Linked DNA regions of Mus musculus. The protein of the gene in region 1 interacts with the protein of each later gene in a biochemical or structural test. Links are inferred from orthologs where the notes say so. Each region holds a gene or a part of one and is shown in the gene's direction. Other genes may lie near its edges.

Region 1 (3,746 bases):
AGAAAAATAGAGAGAGAAAGTGCATGGGGTGCTAAGTTGACAAAGTGTAAATGGGAACGGTTTCAGACACACAAAAACTCACCTCCCTCTGCCTCCTGGCTACTATGATTGAGGTGTGTGCAGTCTTTTTTTTTTAAAGATTTCTTTTTCTGGCCATAGTTGTGCTTTCCTTAAACCCAGCATTCAGGAAGAGACAGAGACAGGCAGGTCTCTGTGATTCAAGGACTGCCTGGTTTGCATAGTGGTTCATCCCAGGCTAGCCTGGGCTACAGAGTGAGACCATGTGTATGTGTGAGTTCAATGCCTGAACAGTCCAGAAGAGGACTTAGATCCCCTGCTCCTGAGGGATTACAAACGCTTGTAAGGTGCTTGATGTGGGTGCTATAAACCAGATGCAGGTCCTCTGCAAGAGCGGTTCCCACTCTTGCCTCTGAGCATCTCTCTCTAGTCTCTACCTAGATGTTTTATGCTTCTGAGAACTTGGAACAGTGCCAGGCTGCCTCCCAGAGCTTCTGCGTGCTTGTGCTTGAACCCTGTGGGACTTTACCATGAGGGAAGCGGGAGCTAGTTACGTGTGTTGGAGAAGATTTCTCCTTGTTTATGGCTCCCCTGCTCCACCTCTCCTTCCTATAGCACAGAATACCTACAGTATTTGGTCCTGTTTATTGCCATCCCTTCCATGAGATGTGGGTCCGAGGTTTTTTTTAGGCTCTGGCTCATCTGTCAACTTGCTTCTCACTTGCTGGATTAGCTGTTCAGATGACCTGCAAAATTAGCTCTGTTTGTGTCAGGGAGGGAGGGGTCTGGTTCTGTGAGGACTAGGGGTGGCACAGTGTCAACCTTGTGTTCTGGCCTCCTGACTAGTGTTCCCCACAGCATGCTGCTGGTTCTGCACCATAGCTGGGGTCTGGTTCTCTGGTTGGTTAAGAGCCCAGGACCCTTGAGTTTGATGTAGCGAGTGCTGATTGAGCACAGACTGTTCCAAGAAGGCAGAGGCGAACAGCCAAGTCCCTTCATTAGGAAACTTCTGCAAAGGTATGAGGTTTGCTGTCAGGAAGGTAGCCTTGGGCATTTCCCTGTCACTCTGGGAGCTTGCTTTGCCTTATATGCAGCCTATCTCTATATACCTTTTGATTTCTTCACAGGATGAGTACATGAAGAAGAAATTTCAGGATCTCCTGGTGCAGGAAAAGAACTCGGTGACCCTCCCTGTGGCTCCCGCCCAGGTATTCTGATGACTTCACTGTGGTCTAGGATTAAGTTGCCGATGAGCAAGTCTGATGACTGAACTTTCCGTGGGGAGGCAGGTGCTCAGCTTTTAAGAAAAGGATTAATGGCAGGCTTAGTGACACATACATATACTCTTAGAAGGCTGAGATAGGGCATTGACTCTCAACAGAGGCAGGAGGAATGGGACCCACAGGCCAGCTTGCTTGCATAATATCATGTAGTAATATCGTCTCTACTTGCTGGCCGTACTTGGGATTGAACCTGCGGCCTAATGCTGCTTAGGTAAGCCCTCCAGCCCGAGCCAGTGTTTCTGCGTTTTGTTTTGATATGCTCCTGCAGCCCTGGAAGACTTAATAACGCAGGATATGTTGAATGAATTGGAACATTAGATAGGGCTTGCCAATCTAACGGAAGACGGAAGATCCTGTTAGAGGCACGAATTTAAGTTTTCAGAAAGTGTAAGACTTGGGTAAGTAGTCTATGATGGTTTCTGTTTTAAACTTTCTGTTGTTAGAAAGTAAAAGTTTTGCTTTACCATGGTTTTATTGAGGCAATTTCTTGTTTGGTTTGGTTTGGTTTGGTTTGGTTTGCTTTTTTTTTTTTCCGAGACAGGGTTTCTCTGTGTAGCCCTGGCTGTCCTGGAACTCACTCTGTAGACCAGGCTGGCCTCGATCCCAGAAATCCGCCTGCCTCTGCCTCCCAAGTGCTGGGAGAGGAAGTTTCTTGATTGCAGTTTTATCATTTTCAAGTTCTTTGTAAGTTATACCTGATCAGTGGTATATTTGGTCAGTGATCTCGATCCTTTTTCCTTACTGTTCTTTCTTGAATTTATGAATAGGAAAAGTCTAAGTAGCTATAAGTAGACAGTGTCAGGAGACAGCAACCAAGCAAAGCTGTTGGTGCTGCCTGCTGTCCACATTCGGATATACTTCAGCCTACGGTGGGATCATATTCTGAGGAACTCATCTCAAATGGAGGCATTTTAAATAGAAAGTGCATTTAACGATAATAGCTGGTGTGGCACAGTAGCGTGTGTGAGCTCCCTGGTAACCCTGTGGGAGCCGGGAGCTCTGGCTGCTTTACAATCATACCTCACCCAGAATTTTGCTAGGAAAGATCCAATTTGAACTTGCTTTTGTGTCACTTGAAAGGTTTTTTTTTTTTTTTTAAGTGGCTGTACATTTATTAGTGGTTAGAAATCGCCAGGGAGCATGGATAAGCATCTTGATTCCAGAGGTGTGTGAGGAGGATTCGGTTGTCATGACAACTAGTCATTTCCATGAAATGCCCCTAGTTTACTGAACTATGAGGAGCTTTGATAGAAGCTGTGCTTTCTCTTAAACACTTCTCCTTTTGCTTTATTTCCAGACTTCCAGTCAAAAGCGGCCCCTGGAACTGGAGGTGGAGGGTATGCCGAGCACAAAACGCCTGTCTGTGTGTGGGGCTGTGTTGTGAGCTTTGAATGTGAAAGAAATGTGCTTCCTTCCACGCTCCAATTGTCTTCTCCATCTTGACATCTTTTTTTTATATGTATATATTTTTTAAAAAATATAGCCAGGCAGTTGTGGCCCACTCCTTTAATCCCAGCACTTGGGAGGCAGAGGCAGGCAGATTTCTGAGTTCAAGGCCAGCCTGGTCTACAGAGTGAGTTCCAGGATAGCCAGGACTACACAGAGAAACCCTGTCTTGGAAAAAAAAACAAACAAGAAACAAAACAAAATAGCCTATATGATGGAACAATTGCTTTTCCATCACAGATACACGATTAAAAAACGTGGAAATCTGGGCTGATTGTTTGATGACCTGCACTTTAGATTTCTTTCTTTCTTTCTTTCATTTTAAGAAAAATGTTAGGGGGTGGTGTTGAGAGATTAACACCACTCCTGTTGAGGGCTGCAGTTCAGTTCCCAGCACCCATGTAACTACATTTCTGGATCGGATGCCCTCACCTGGCCTCTCTGGTCACCTACTACACATGTGTTCATGTACACAGAAACACATAATCATTAAAAAGAATATTCTAAAACAATGTTAGTAGTTTGTTGTGGCTTTTCATCTGGATCCTCACATTGCCAGTCTGCCCTATCAGGATGTCACTCTGGTTTTAGGCTCATCCGTCTAAATACAAATTCTAAAAGTCCCTTAGAAGGTCCAAGTCCCACTGGCCATGGTAATCTACACCTATGATCCCAGCACTCTAGAGGCAGGACAATGTTTGAGTTGACTTTGAGGCCTGTCTGATCTTTAGAGCAAATTTTAGGACAGCCAGGGTACACAGAGAAACAATCTCTTTCTCTAAACTTTCTCTTTTATCTTTAAACTCTTTTTTTCTCTGTCTAAACTTTTTCTCTGTCTAAACTCTTTCTCTCTCTCGTTTCTCTATCTCCCAACTTTCTTTTTCTCTCTCTAAACTCTCTAAACTTTCTATTTCTAAACTCTTTTTTTCTATCTCTAAACTTTTTCTCTGTCTAAACACACTCTCTCCCTCTCTCTCCCTCTCTCTTAACTTTTCTTTC
Region 2 (3,746 bases), on another chromosome or scaffold:
CTGGATTTCCAGAGGACCCAGGTTCAATTTTCAGCACCTACAAGGCAGCTCACAACTGTATGTAACTTCTGTTCCAGGAAATCTGACTCCCTCACACATACAGGCAAAACACCAATGTACATAAAAAAAAAGTAATTAAAAAAAGTTAAGGCCCAGTTATTTCAGAATGCTGTTTTAGGGGAGTGGAGAGATGGCTCAGTGGTTAAGAGCCTGCACTGCTTTTTGGTTTGGAGCGCCTATCTGGCTCACAACCACCTGTAACTCCAGTTGTAGGCGGAGGGTTGGGACTCCACACAACATCCACAGAGATACACACATAATGAAAATGAAATAAATATTTAATGACAATTTTAAAAGGAATTGTCTTGGGAGGTATAGAAACTGTTGTTGAAAGGCAGGCCAGCATAAAGCCTTTCCTTGTTGTTTGCATTTCCCATGCTGCTGTAAATAAGTTTCCATTACGCTTTTTGTGAAATCTCAAAGGCTGTACAGAAAATAATAAAGGAACACGTTGACTCCCTCAAAAGAATATGGTGCTAAGAAAATATTAAGTTGATCACTCGAGAACTTATTTCAATTTCGTGGAAATCAGTCTAAAAGCATTCATTTTGTTGTTGGGACTGTCAACTTCTGTGAACGGAGGGAAATAACCGTGTCTTTAGGGCATGGAGATCCTGTTGTATGCTCCTTTTCCAAACGGTAACTTAGATTCTGCAGTAATAGCTGTATTCAAGACGAGTCCGAAAAAGTATTAACGACGCTGAAAAGAGGAAGAAATATGCAAAATACTTAAAAAAAAAAAAGGGCTGTAAAGTGTTAGGAATTAAACTCGCCGACAGGTCTCCGACCTAACGTTATCGCGGAAAACAGGGCTGTGCAACTGGCGGTGGAAAATTCCAAGTCTTCTTAAGTAAACCCGACTGCTTCCCTTAACTCCCAGCCGGACAAGTCCCACCCAAGCCAGTTCACGCGTGCTACGCTGGTCTAGCGCACGGACCAACGACTTTGCAGGGCATTTTCGCGCCATTTCGCTTGAAATAAGTGGAAGGTCAAGTCTACCTTTGACCTCTGCAAATTTTCCACAATCGCGGGAGGCAAAACTGGCTCTGCAAAAGGACCAAAGGGGAAAAGCCAGAAGTCTCACGTTAGGGATTTAAGGGGAAAAAAAGATGACAGGTTGAGGCTTCAGCCGCTTAGTAACAGCGGAAAACCCCCAGGGTACAGAAGCCCTAGGCTGGAGAAAACAAACCGGGCAAGGAGCGCGCTCCCCCGGTCGGCGGGCCGAGCGAGATCAGCGGTTGCAGAGAGATGCGGGGGTGGAAGGAGGGCGGGGGCGAGCTTGCTCTTCTTGACTCCTGATTGGTCTGTCTCAGCGAGCCGAGTGACGTCATCAGGAGAAAGGGGGGGAAAGAACGTCTGATTTGTATGGTGGGCGCGGGCGGGCGGGGAGCGAGTTCAGTGCGCAGGCGCAGCTGCTCGGCTCCTCTCGCCCGCGACTCGACCGGCCCAGCTCTCGCGGACAAGTCCCGACATCACGCGCCCCCCCCCACCGCCGCGGGGACCGCCTCCTCTTCACTCTCGGCTTCGTCGAAGATAAACAATAGTTGGCCGGCGAGCGGCGAGTGTGTCTCCCGCCTCGGAATTCGGCGGGCTGCGTGGGAACGGCGGGATCCCGGGCAGCCGGCCATGGCGGGGCTGTACTCGCTGGGAGTGAGCGTCTTCTCGGACCAGGGCGGGAGGAAGTACATGGAGGACGTAACTCAGATCGTGGTGGAGCCCGAGCCGGCTGCGGAGGACAAGCCGGCGCCGGTACCGCGGCGGGCGCTCGGGTTGCCGGCGACCCCCACTCTCGCCGGCGTCGGGCCATCGGAAAAAGGCCCGGCGGCGGCCCGCGACCCTGCCCCGGACGCCGCGGCCTCGCTACCCGCTGGCCGCTGCTGTCGCCGCCGCTCTTCGGTGGCCTTCTTTGCAGTGTGCGACGGGCACGGCGGTCGGGAGGCGGCACAGTTTGCCCGGGAGCACTTGTGGGGTTTCATCAAGAAGCAGAAAGGCTTCACCTCGTCCGAGCCCGCCAAGGTGTGCGCTGCCATCCGCAAAGGTTTCCTCGCCTGTCACCTCGCCATGTGGAAGAAACTGGGTAAGTTCCCCGCCCGCCTCTTTTTTTCTTTTCTCCCCTTATCCCCCTGGGCTTTTTATAGCATCAGCACCGCGTGGGCCTCCCCGGTACCAAGAGCGCTATCCATCAAGCGACGCTGTCCAACAAGGGATGCGAGTGAAGACTGTCATGGTTGGAGTTCTAGGCACACCGAGTGGCCTCGGAAACGCTAGGATGGCTTGTCTCCCAGCAACCGCTCCTTGCATTATCTCCTCCCTCCTACGATCAGGGGGCAACAGTCTCCCCTCTCCCTTCGCTAATTCACTTTGGTAGCAGCACGCTCAGAAGTGTTTGAATGCCGGCGCCAGATTGTAACCGAGGGATAAATTTAAGAAACGTTTCTACACGGGCTAGGTGAAAGAAGCAGGAGGTGGCAAGAATTGGAGCGTTCCCTTAGCATCTGTCATAATTTTGTTCTTGTTGGGCTTGTTCCTCTTGGTTGCCTCCTACCGGTGGTGTCACTTCTTCAGATTGACCTGAATGGCTCTGGCTCGATGTAAGTCAATTTAGAAGGGCTGAAGTGTAACATAGGCAACTTACTTTTGTGATAGTGTTTTGGGGTAATCCCTTGAATTGTTTATGAGAAAGGTGTGCAACGTGTTAAATATTAAATTGGCTCCATGTTAGGGGCATGTGTTAACTTCTTGGTGTGTGTGTGTGGGATACTTAGAATTGCATTCAGTTTTCCAAAAGTTCATACTGAAAAGCACTCATGTCACTACTCATCAAAGTAGTTTTTGGTAACAGGTATTTTAATTCCTAAAAGTTAAGTGTGATTGTAGTCCCATCTAAATTTTGAATCTCTCTGAGACAGACAGTACTTCTGTAGATAACAGAAATGCCCGAGGGTTATATGGCTGCTTATTTTGCCCTGGGTATATGGTGCATATTTTTGTTACAGAAAAGAATTTATGTTCCTGCCACTAAAAACCCTTCGTTTATAGTGGTGTAAGAAAGTCACTCTATTTTCATTAAAGAGACAGAGACTCAGTGCTGTTACAGATTTGTAAAATACACAGTATTTTTAGAAAGGCATTGTCATACAGTATAGGCTAGCTGGTTTCAAATCTGTTTTCCATCTGTTGGGCCTTTTGCCAAGTATTTGATTGACTTGAAGACCAGCCACTGAGGGTTTTGGAGGCAGGTCCCAGCAAATCCCTTGGGCCCCTATCATGGATTTATTTTGTTTTCGTGTGGGCTGAGTAGAGCTTGAAAGCATTGTAGTTTATTCTAGAAATGCATTATATTATTGGCTGAAGAGGAATTAAAAGTGGATAGGGAGACAAAGAAGATTAAGATTAGACACAAAGACCTATTACAGAGTTCATTTATTTTGCAGTACACTTGGGGCATATGAATTTCCCATATGCTTTAAAAATCAAAAGCCTTTAATAGTTGAACTTTAGCTAGGTGTGGTGGTACATGCCTTTAATACTAGTCCTTGAGAGGCCAAGGTAGGCAGATATCTCTGAGTTTGAGGCCAGCCTGGTCTACTCTACAGAGAGAGTTTCAAGGACAGCCATGCCTAGTAAAGAGACCCTTTCTTTAAAGGGGGGGAAAAAAAAGATTGACCCTTCATATTGAAGTGTGG
Region 3 (3,746 bases), on another chromosome or scaffold:
CAAAAGGAAACAAGATATTTATGTTTTTGAAACTGGCTTATTCAGCCTAATATGATTATCTCCAGTTGGACCTATTTTCCTACATGTTATTTCGTTCTTTATGGTGGAAAAATATGTGTATACACACCATATTTCCGTTATACATTCTTCTGTTGTTATATAATTTGGTTAAGCAAATGTTTTGAGTGTAGGTTTAGAACTCTACTTTTGCATACTTCTCGATCCTCCTCAAGCATTAGGCCAGCCTACTTAACCTCCGTTTTTATGTCAAAAGGAAAAGGTGTGGGACTTGCAGAAGAGACTGCAGAGCAAAGGGGGCACTATGGGCAGGCGGGATCACTTTCTGTTGAAGCATCATACGGATGCCCAAAGCTAACATGAGCAGTTCTTGGCTTTAAATATAAAACTTAGACGGAATCTCTTAGGAAGAGATTCCCCAAATCAGCTAATCTGAACTTGACTACAGATGACTGAAGGGCCTCAGCAGAAGAGGTTAAACTTGGGCTAAGTTCGAAACGGGAAACTTCTTTTCAGAGGGCCTAGACTTGCAGAGCTCTCTGAAGTGGTAGAGACGAGCTTGCCCAAACCCCACGCGAGATCAGCGATCAGCGAACCGCGGCGCCAAGACCTCGGGAGCTACAAATGGACTCCCCAACCACCAATTACGCGGTTTAGGACCGGAGAGGAGAAGGCCCGCCCAAGAACGTAGCCCCGCGCTCCGATTGGACAAGCTCATTTCTCTCCCGGGGCTCCTTCGCCTGTCAATCACGTTGCTCTGACACGACCTTGGCCCCGCCCCCGTTCGACTGACGCAATGCTTGGTGTTCTTGGGCACCCCGGCCCTCGCTTCATGTTCTCATTGGTAAGCAGGGCGCAAAGAGAGGGAGGACGCTCTTCTGCTTTCTGAGCTGCCTGTGTAGTTTCCCTCTTAACGCGCTGTCTGGAGAACAATCCCAGCCTGGAGCCTAGCGCAGGCGTACACAAGAGCCGACAGCGGCGCGGCGTTTCCCCTTTCTCCCTCCCGAGAGCTTTCCTTTACAGTTGTGACGCACAAGGCACCCCGCTCACTGCCTTCACTTGCGATTGGTTGTGGCCCGCGTCTGTCACGTAGCCCCTCCCTCCCACCCAGCTATGGACTCTTGATAGACAGCCGGGAGGCCACGCCCCCACCCCCGTCTGCCGCTTAGCCCTGCGATTGGCCGAGGGCACTGGCATGCTTTCCCGCCCCGGCCCCCTCCGGAGACTCCGGAGGCTAGTGGGACCCCGCGGAAGTTGTCAGTCAAACTCCTTCCTCCACCCCCCGCGAGGACCTCCCCCGGGCCGCGGGAGCGCGCACGCACGCGCACCGAGTCCCCCCTCACCCGAACCAGCCACCCTCTCAAGTTGTAGCAGTTGCTTCCCGGGCGTGCTCCGTGGGCGGCCGGTGGGCGCGGGAGGCTGAGCGAGGGCGACGCTCCAGGGATCCAAGGATCCAAGGATCGGGGTACGGGTGGCCGCCCCGGGCGATGAGGGGCCATCGCTGACAGGAGAACGAGCGCTCGGCAGCGGCTCGCGCGGACCCGCGATGGAAGCGCCCCGGGAGGAGGCTCCCGGCCGGGCGGACAGCGCGGGCGGCAGCCGCTGAAGACCTGTCCGGACTCCGCGCGCTAAGGGGCCGCGAGGCGCGCCCGGCGTCCGCACCCGCGCGCTCGCCCCAGCCGTCCAAACTTCGGGCTCGCCTCCGCCCGCCCTCGTCGCCGGGCGTCAGCAACTTGTGCGGCCCGCGCGCCCCCGCCCTCCCCTCCGCCAGCCCCGGGAGGCGGCCGCGCGGCGCGGGGATGCGGCCGTGAGGCGCTGTCGGGTGAGGAGCAGCTCGCGGAGCGCGAGGGCGGCGCGGCCGGGGCCCGGGGCGCAGGGGCGCAGGCCCGCCGTGCCCGTCCCCCGCCGATTGCCCGGGCCAGCCGCCGCGGGAGGCGCCGATCGCCCGGGTCGCCGAGATGTCGTCGCCGTCGCCGCCCGCACCAGTTGCCTGCGCCGCCATCTCGGCCTCGGAGAAAGTGGACGGCTTCACCCGGAAATCGGTGCGCAAGGCGCAGAGGCAGAAGCGCTCTCAGGGCTCGTCGCAGTTCCGCAGCCAGGGCAGCCAGGCGGAGCTGCACCCCCTGCCCCAGCTCAAAGGTAACCCCCGGCCGCCCCTGGCCCGCGCTCCCGGGGCAAGCCCTACTCCCCTTCCCACCTGCGCGCTTGCCCCGCCTGCCCTTGCCTTGGCGATTTCAGGGTCCCCAGAGGTACCTGCGCTCCCTTCCCTCGTCCAGTCTTTCGACTCCCTGCCTCGCTGAGCCTCAACCCTGGTTTTCTCCAAGCTTAGCTAGTTCTTCTCTTTCTCTGTTTGTCCCTCAGTTGTCACATCCAGGGTCCAAACAAACTGCTGCCGAGTTAGCTGGCCTTTAGACGTAGCTATATAGAACTAGCTTAAAACCGGGACCAGGTGACAGATCTTACTGTCTCGTTAGACGTAAATGTTATACCTCAGAAGACCTCGATTGTCTTTGGAGAGGTTATGAAGGAAGAGTAATTTCTTTGCCGTGGAACGGGAACTTGGTTAGCGCGGCTATGCTTCCAAGGACTTTGTAAGGTTTTGTAAGTAATTCAGATTGGTATCCGTGCCTAATGCCTCGCAGGAGTGCTTGGCACTCCTTTTGGCTCTCTTTTCTCACCCGGTTTGGAGGCTTTTCATGAGTTGTTTACTGGCGTTCTTGCTTATTCTTTGAGAATTACTGGCTTTTAATTTAATAATTTTACGTCTTTGCATTTTATGAGCTAGATGTCATTAATGGAAAAGATGTTTATGTTCCTAGATATTTAAGAAATTCTTTGCAACCTGATAGAAACCTAGAGAATGAGTCACAAGGCCAAGAAATAAAAGAAAGGCTCATGCCAAAATAGATAAATGATCAGCAGATTTTTCAATTCTTTTGACAAAGATCCAGCATCCCTTTCAAGGCCAATCTGGTTGTGATTTGTCTTTGAGTCTATGAATCCTGACTTAGTTTGGCAAGGAGTGTAAAGAAAACCCTAGATCAAATCAACAGTTGACCAGCAACAGCTTGGAACCCCATTTAAACTCTACATCTGCCTCTCGGGGTGCTTCTGAATTAAGGATATACCACTGGTAGAATCACACAGACTTTTGAAAATAGTTTATGTTAGGTGTGTGGTGTCTCATTTGTTGCTTTATTGCTCTTTACCATACTAGAATTGTTCAAATTGATACAGCACTGTCAGTGGAGTGCAGCCATAGCCTAAAATAACTCTGTCCTACCTGTTAGGATAGTGAATTGCTACTCAGAGGTTTAAGCTTTTATACTTAATTAAGAGTTATTTTATCCTTTGTTTTTCATTAGTTTATCCTGTTAATTTTAGTTTGAAGTCTCGATACTAGCATTTTTCTTATGTATCTAATTTGCTAACGTGGTTTTCTTCTTCTTAGTGTTGTACTTCTTAGTTCCTCTGCTAGTAATTGAATTTTAAACATCTGGTTAGTCTTGAGATGCCTCTGTAGTAGATTTTGCCTTTAAGACGGACAGAAATCCACAGAATCAGTAATCAGACTCAAAGTTACCTGATGTTTGGTTGAAGATGTAGCAGGAACTGCCAATGTTTTCACATACAGAATTTGGTCAGTAGTAGAAAGAAATTGAAATTTGCGTGTATAGTGTTCCCCATAAGGTATTATTCATGATAAACTGATGCAGATTCGATTGAGG

What was found.
Region 2: of the proteins of Chek2 (region 1) and Ppm1d, one has a biochemical effect on the other in vitro, tested with the Homo sapiens proteins (2 studies listed by BioGRID, with this or other methods). The link is inferred for Mus musculus from reciprocal best matches to the Homo sapiens genes CHEK2 and PPM1D.
Region 3: the proteins of Chek2 (region 1) and Ppp2r5a form a complex in vitro, tested with the Homo sapiens proteins (2 studies listed by BioGRID and IntAct, with this or other methods). The link is inferred for Mus musculus from reciprocal best matches to the Homo sapiens genes CHEK2 and PPP2R5A.

What each region holds. Positions count from the first base shown.
Region 1 is NC_000071.6:110,870,882-110,874,627, forward strand, and holds the end of Chek2 (serine/threonine-protein kinase Chk2), read left to right. Parts: intron 1-1,145; coding exon 1,146-1,226; intron 1,227-2,598; coding exon 2,599-2,685; 3' UTR 2,686-3,259; downstream 3,260-3,746. UniProt on the Homo sapiens protein: Serine/threonine-protein kinase which is required for checkpoint-mediated cell cycle arrest, activation of DNA repair and apoptosis in response to the presence of DNA double-strand breaks.
Region 2 is NC_000077.6:85,309,787-85,313,532, forward strand, and holds the start of Ppm1d (protein phosphatase 1D), read left to right. Parts: upstream 1-1,467; 5' UTR 1,468-1,686; coding exon 1,687-2,137; intron 2,138-3,746. UniProt on the Homo sapiens protein: Involved in the negative regulation of p53 expression. Required for the relief of p53-dependent checkpoint mediated cell cycle arrest.
Region 3 is NC_000067.6:191,394,647-191,398,392, reverse strand, and holds the start of Ppp2r5a (serine/threonine-protein phosphatase 2A 56 kDa regulatory subunit alpha isoform), read left to right. Parts: upstream 1-1,351; 5' UTR 1,352-1,976; coding exon 1,977-2,157; intron 2,158-3,746. UniProt on the Homo sapiens protein: The B regulatory subunit might modulate substrate selectivity and catalytic activity, and might also direct the localization of the catalytic enzyme to a particular subcellular compartment.